Kluyveromyces lactis: one gene and its partner. The protein of the gene in region 1 interacts with the protein of each later gene in a pairwise test. Links are inferred from orthologs where the notes say so. Each region holds a gene or a part of one and is shown on either strand. Other genes may lie near its edges.

Region 1 (3,732 bases):
AATTGGTTATTTCCGATCCAGAGACACATATACTTGAGATGAGATGAGATGAGATGAGCGCTGGGTACAATACGACCATCTCAAGTGCAGGGGTCGTCTAGTGGTATTGAGCATGGGGTTTATCGCTGCTGGGTATCGTACAAAGGATTTCCAGAGTGTTTATAGTGACCGAGAGGACTGGGCCATCTGCAGAAGAGCGAAAGTACGAAGGTCATCGAATTTACTTTCAAGGTCTTCTCGAAGGAAAAAATGTAAGGTACAAGACAAACCATTGACTATACGGGATTTGCCCAGTGAATTGATCCAGAAAATCTTTGTGTTTAGTGGTAATCATGAACTTTACGAGGTGAATAAGTTCTTTTATACATGTTTGAAACCAACGAGTTTCCTCTTGCATAGGTTCATCTTGGAAAATTTCTACCATGATTTGAACCGTGATCTAACAAGCTCGAAAGGTAACGAGAATGGTCCCGTACCTGCGTTCCATGGGTTGAATGGGAAGGTATTCGAAAACTCGGTGTATGTTTCGTTTTTAAACGATAATCCTCATTTGATTCAAGAGATTGGCCATATCGGACATCATGAAGAGTTAACTGCACTGCAAGAGGAAAGATTGGCTCTGTTTCAAGAGGGAGATCTAACAGGACTCGATGCTAGGCATAAGGAATTGCAGAAACAGGATTATCCATCAATATTTTACTCGGAGGTAGAATTTTTTTTCCAAAACGATATTCAACTAAAGAAACCAGTTTACAACCAGTTGATACTTGAACTATCCGTCCACTACGAGGTGAAGCAGCCTTATTTCCTCATAGAAACCTTAATGCATTGGTTTTTCCATACTAACCAAGGTCAATATAACATCAACCATTTATTCCATGCCATTATCTTGGTAACTCACATCTCATCGGTGTTACCTTCTAAATCCTTGGATAATAATGGACCCTTAATCGAACTAATCAACAACATATATTTGACTCCTGCTGGTCAGCAGTTACATGAGTTGCTATTAGTAGACGATTATACTGACGAAGAGGCGTTTAGTAGAAGGAGAATACGTGTCCTGAACAAATTCATCAATAAATTCTACAAGTTGGAAGAAACAAGACCATTGTTATTGTCTCAGGACGTCTTATGGGAAACCTTGGTCGACGTTAAGGACAAACATGTTATGAAACTTATTATGGAATATGGAGGACAGCCTAGCATCAACGTAATTCAATAAATCCGTAATATAAAAAGTAAAAGGAATGGTTACAGATTACTATACACTTATTTATTTATTTATTTGTTTGTTTGTATCTTTAGATGAGCAAGGCTATCTAAATCTAAAATCGTTAGTTGGCATGGTTATATTCTGCAAACCATGGGTGGTTCAAGGCATCCTTTGCAGAAAGTCTTGCATCTGGGTTCAGTTGCAATAGACCATGCAATAGATCCACTACATTATCGTCCAACACTTCCTCCGTATTGTTTTGTAATAGCTGTTTCAAATCACGAGGCATATGTGGAGGCAAAAGTGGATTGTATTTAGCCAATTGAGTCACTTGCGGCCATGTCTGCTCCACTGGAGTACCCATCGTATCGAATATGAGTTTCAACTGTTCCTCATCGTTGGAACCAGGGAATAACGGTTTCCCCATAATCATTTCAGCCAAGATACATCCGCATGACCAAATATCGATTGAAGTGCAATAGTTTCTTGACCCCATCAACACATCAGGAGCCCTATACCAAAGAGTCACCACTTCACTGCTGAAAGTGTTAACTGGGATACCAAATGCACGAGCCAACCCAAAATCACCAAGTTTCAATTGACCTCTGTTATTGATCAACAAGTTCTGAGGTTTCAAATCACGATGCAAGATCCTGTTCTCATGGCAAAACGCTACACCTTGTAACAACTGCCATTGGAAATATTTCACCAAATCCATCTCTAAGCCCTTATGAGAATTTCCCTTGTTTCTATTGTCCATGAACTTCTTAAGGTCATTATCCATGAATTCAAACACCAACGTCAACTTATTCTCAGTATGAATCACATCGAATAGCCTCACGATGTTATCATGTTTCAACTCTTTCATCAACGATATCTCCCTAATGGCCGTTGACGGAGTTCCTTCTTCGCTATCCAATTTCACTTCTTTCAAAGCAACGTATACACCAGTCGTCTTATTCAATCCTTTGTACACGGTAGCATACGTACCGTTACCAACCTTTTCAAGTTGCTTGAATCTGGTTTCATAGCGTAGTAGAGGGGACAAACGATTGCTGCGTTAGTATAAAAGTCAGAGTTATAGTGGTAAGGAGAAGTACTCATCTGCTTTGTACTCCTCGCTGCCAGTATCAAATATTCACAAAACTGCATACTGAGATGGTGCCACCATAGTTTATGTTTATTGATGATCCTTGGAATGGTCCTGAGAGCTATATAACCATTATCGGATCCTCTTTTTACATCTGTTCAAGAGATAATGATTCAAATAGGAATTGAAATCTTCAAATATTTAAGAATGGTGTTATCTAGAATAAAATAGTGGATACAGAAGGAAGTAACTTAGAAGAGGACAGAAATATTTGAGGTTTGGCAGTTGTGGCGTCCATCTCAGATAGTTTACTACCTAATTATATATGCGTACCATTTCAAAACTCTTCTTTCCCCTGTACTTGCTAATTATAATGCCAGTGACAAAAGTCTACTTGAAGATCTTCTAATATTAGACAGGAGTAAATACACAATTACGCTTTAATACCTGGAAATCTTATCCATTCATTTACAGTAGTAAATAATAATATTCATGTTGAACAACTTCCAAGTGGTTATATGGCTAAAGGCAGGAAGATATCTTGTATGTTGCTTCGAATTCCTGGTGCCTTTAGAGCATGAGTAACGTTCGAAGTGAAAAATTTAAAGAGGGCATCGATTCATCAACTAATAAGCAGTTTCAACGCAGACTCGAAGAACTCGATGGAATACCAGGATATAGAGAACCATATAGACTGTGCACAGGTAGAGTTGACGTAAGTTTGATATGACCTCGAATACGCTTCATTATACCGTGGAGAAATCCAGTATTTTGGGACCAGAATGGCAATCTTTATATTCGACAGCGGAACCTGTCGACTTCGATAAATCACATTTCGAACAAGCTATGCTAAATGTGATAAGGCAGCCTAATGTAAACTCGACTGTTATTCTACGTGCAGATATGCTTATAGACAATGAATACGACTTAGAGTCTGGTTCATGTGTGAAATCAGAGAAGAAAGACATCGCGTTGGGAAGCGATGAGGGTATATTGAAAGTAAACATCGATGATCTAGCACCGAGATCTGTACCGATAGCGTTGGCTGATGTTACCACAAAGTTCCAATTTGTTAGGAGGATTGTTCCGAGGAATCCATTCAAGGATGCTATCATTAATCAGACGTGTTTGGTTATGAATTCCAACTCAGATGCTTCAACCTCTTTAGTAATTTACATCCCACATTTTGATAATGCTGAGTTATGTCCGTTTTATATCCCACAAGTGGCTGCAGTAGGGATTCTATTGCATGATCACCAGCTATCGGTGCATTATATCCCTTTCGCAGGGCAAAAAGAGCTTCTTTTCGATCCAAAACAACGGGTGGTAAGAACTGCTTTCAGGTTATTACAAACAGCATACAAGCATTCGAAAGGTGTCAAAGATGGGTATGCGAAACGGGTAATGCATGACGTTGTCGTGGATA
Region 2 (3,574 bases), on another chromosome or scaffold:
ATCAATGCAGATTTATCCTGCGAGGTTAAGTGTATTAATCTTGCAAAAGAATAACAAAAGGAGAAGGTTATTTAAAATGAAGTTAATTTAAACTCAATTAAGAGATCTTCATTACCTTTGTCCTTCGTGTCAACTGCATTTTAACAAACGCAGTTGAGCTAAGAAAAAAACGCGCACAGGCAAAACATGAGAGACAGAGAAGGATTTCAAAGTGCAAATTATTAATTGTTTGCGATTTTGGTTCATTATCCCCCGTTGATGCGTGTTTTTTCCTGGCATAGTTAAAGTTCTTCCTGAATTAGGTCTGTAAAAAGTGCTGTTTAGAAGTAATAAAATTCCATTGCTCTCAGCATACTTCATTTTCGGTATAAAAAAGGAATGTGTCAGGCAAAAGGACTTCTAAGTTTCAAACAATCATTGTTTATGAAAGAAAGAAAGGAAGAAAGAAAAGAAGAGTGAAGAGGCTAACATCCATACGTTGTTAGTCTTAATTCTTTTTTTTTTTTAGGATTTTTATCAGCATTTTTATCATTTTTTTGGGGGTTTTTAATAATGGGAATAGTTTATAATCATCGAACGTCGGGTGCATGCACACTCAGACAGACTCGTTATGAGCAGCCATTGTCCAAATCAGCCGACAATTCGTCACGCGTATAGTTGAACTATTTTTTTAATGTTTTTTTGTTAACGTTGTCTTGTTGTATATTTTCGTTTTCCTCAGTAAGCTGAGAAACAGTAGTAGTTTTGATTAACCTGTTGTTGTTGATGATGATCGTTCCAAAAAGGTTGTTGAGGTTGCTCATAATAGTTCACATTGTCATAGTTCTTTGGTCTAGGGCTGTATTGGGAAGGTGGAGAGCAGTTGAATTGTTTTTGGTAACCGTTATTATAGGAGTAACTTCTCAAGTCAGAATAAACCGGTGATGAATAAGCCATCGAGGAATGTCCACAGTTTGGTGTTTGATAACCATAGGCCATCGACGAGGCAGATGAATACTGACGTTGGTGAGTTGGAACAGAAGATGGGCTCAGTTGATGTTGCTGCTGCTGTTGCTGTTGTTGATAGGCAGATAGTCTCTGCTCTCTGACGAAAGCATTGTATGATTCTTGGAAAGATTCATAAGTATCGAACTTATCTTCAAACAACCTCCATTCAAACGCCTTAAGCCAAGACTTTTCGTACTGGTTAATTGTCAACAAGTCCATACCAGTAGCTTGAGACCATGATTTATTGGTGAAAGTTTTATCATCGTTGAACTTGTTGGCTAGCACAAGTGCAACCACCAAATTTTGATAGATGATGTCGACAGATTTACCACCAATAGACTGAAAGTCACAATCGATGAGATCTAGGTACTTGATCAAATAGTCCAAAGCCAAAAAGATGGTAACAGATGGTAATCTAGTGGATCCCAACACAGAGGACACACTGCTCGAGAACAGTTCCATAACATCTGCGGGAACATCAAAACTGCCGAATGACAAACATGAGTTCTTAGTAACGAAATCAGACATCGTGTTTAATTCATAGTCCAATACTTCGCAAACACCGCCATTGACATTTTGTTCTTTCTCTGGGATAACTTGATTATTTGCAGGTGGAACCATAACCTGAGGCTGATTCATCATCATAGAATGACCTGGCATAACAGGGTGACCATGATTCTGAACCAAGCCAGGAACATGTCCAACAACAGGAGCAGCTGGTGGTTGCATATAGGATAGACCAGGTGGAGGAAAGTAAAAAGAGTTGGATTGACCATGTCCTGGTTGAAACATACCATCGATTTGGTGAGGGGTGATTGTTGTAGGATTAACTGCAGGACAACCGTAACCGTTGATAGATGATACCATACTAGGGTTCATAGAACCTGAACGATGGTGGTAAGGGGTAGCCATGCTGTTCGATTGAACAGACATAGCTGGATAATTTGGGTAATACATGAAAGAAGCCATGATTACTGCTATCAAAATAAAACCAATTTATCAAGCGGAGAAGGAAAAAATAAAAAAGAGTATAACAAAAAAAAATGAAACAGTAAAGTTACTAGATCAAATAAAGATATCAAGCGAAAACTGTCTAGCGAATGTTACTAGAGTATGCAGTTTCCCTTCAACGATACTTGATTAACCTAGATTTTTAGGAGGAAAGGGAGATTTTTTTTTCTTTTAAATTTAGTAGTTTCAGTCTTTGAGTAAGTTTAGTCACTGAAGAGTTATTATTTAACCTTCAGCCGTAAAAAAACTTGATCAACAACAGGGTAGAAACAAACCAAAAGAGAGATTTCTTTTGAATTTCAGGCAATTGAAAGAAATAGAATCAATAGTGCTTCGTCAAATAATTTCTCTATAACAGAAGATTTATTCTCTCACGACAAGTAAATGCAGGGGAAAATCGAATCTGATTAAACTGAAACGAAGTCGAATAAAACTGGCAGGAAAAAGTTGTAATGAAATGCACAGATTAGAAATACGATAGGGCTAATATTAGACCAGTATCGAGTAATGTGATTTGCTCTGAACTTTAGATTTTCCTCTATTCAAGCCTTCTGGTACAATTGCTCAAAGAAATGTAAAAGTTGGTAAGGGAAAATACGCGGAGACTAACAAAAAAAAAACAATTTGCACAGTCAACAACAAATTTAACCGTCGAGTGAAGTTAATGGGTGGTGATTGAATAATAAAAGTATGTGGATGGGTCTTTTATTGAGATTAAAATTCACAACTCTCAGAGGAGAGAGAAAATAAAAACGGATTTGTCTTCTTCTTCTTGACACTTTCTTATTCCAAAACAAGAAAGATGCAGTGACACACAATAAGACAAATTAACCTAATAACTATCTTCAGAGTGCGACGATGAGTTAGACCAAACCAATGAAAAAACAGAAAGACTGTTTAGTAAGCTTTTATCTCTCAAAATAATTCTTTACAAAATTTGAATTTGCAAAGTGACGCTCTTCAATGAGGTGGGAACACGTCCTATGATAAAATCCGTCAACAAAAATGTTCGATAGAATTAATAGCTGAAATTGTTTCTTTAACTCCTTCACTCTCTAAACTAAGTAGCAAAAACTAGGAGAAAAAGATCCAAAGACACGCAGCGGCTTTCCAAAAGAAAACTAGGACAGATAAAACAGGATTATCTAACCGAAAACCAACACAGATCCAACTGAACTGAATCAAGTACAGGAAATCCGAAGAATATTCTGTATTTCAAATCAAATAAAACCAACTCACAAACACCGTTTATTAAACAAGTGATGGATGGTGGATTAAAAAAAAAAGAAAAAAAGATGAGGGAAAAGAGGATGATATATGGTTCGGCCTGGTGAATGTAATACTTCCCCGAGTCCTAATAATATATCCCTTGAGTGATGAAGAACTTTGTCCGTTGACCTTCTGAAAACCTCATCAAAAAGATACCTAACTGTACGTACACAAAATAACAAGCATTTAAACTATATAGGTTGAAATTTATATATTTTTCTCTTGTTTTTTTTTCTTTCATTTTGACAAATCGAAGAAAAAGAAAAAGAACTTCGTTCTAAAGTGGAAACTTAATGAGCTTTAAGTT

The links.
Region 2: the proteins of PHO85 (region 1) and CLG1 interact in binary tests that used the Saccharomyces cerevisiae proteins (3 or more experiments, as listed by UniProt). The link is inferred for Kluyveromyces lactis from reciprocal best matches to the Saccharomyces cerevisiae genes PHO85 and CLG1.

The regions. Positions count from the first base shown.
Region 1 is NC_006040.1:1,021,558-1,025,289, forward strand, and holds PHO85 (cyclin-dependent serine/threonine-protein kinase PHO85), read right to left. Parts: upstream 2,388-3,732; coding exon 2,371-2,387; intron 2,236-2,370; coding exon 1,338-2,235; downstream 1-1,337. Other genes in the region: KLLA0_D11968g (uncharacterized protein), read left to right, coding at 113-1,225; TRM44 (tRNA (uracil) methyltransferase), read left to right, coding at 3,033-3,732.
Region 2 is NC_006037.1:142,304-145,877, reverse strand, and holds CLG1 (Clg1p), read right to left. Parts: upstream 1,957-3,574; coding exon 718-1,956; downstream 1-717. UniProt on the Saccharomyces cerevisiae protein: Cyclin partner of the cyclin-dependent kinase (CDK) PHO85. Has a role in cell integrity and polarized cell growth together with the other PCL1/PCL2 cyclin family members.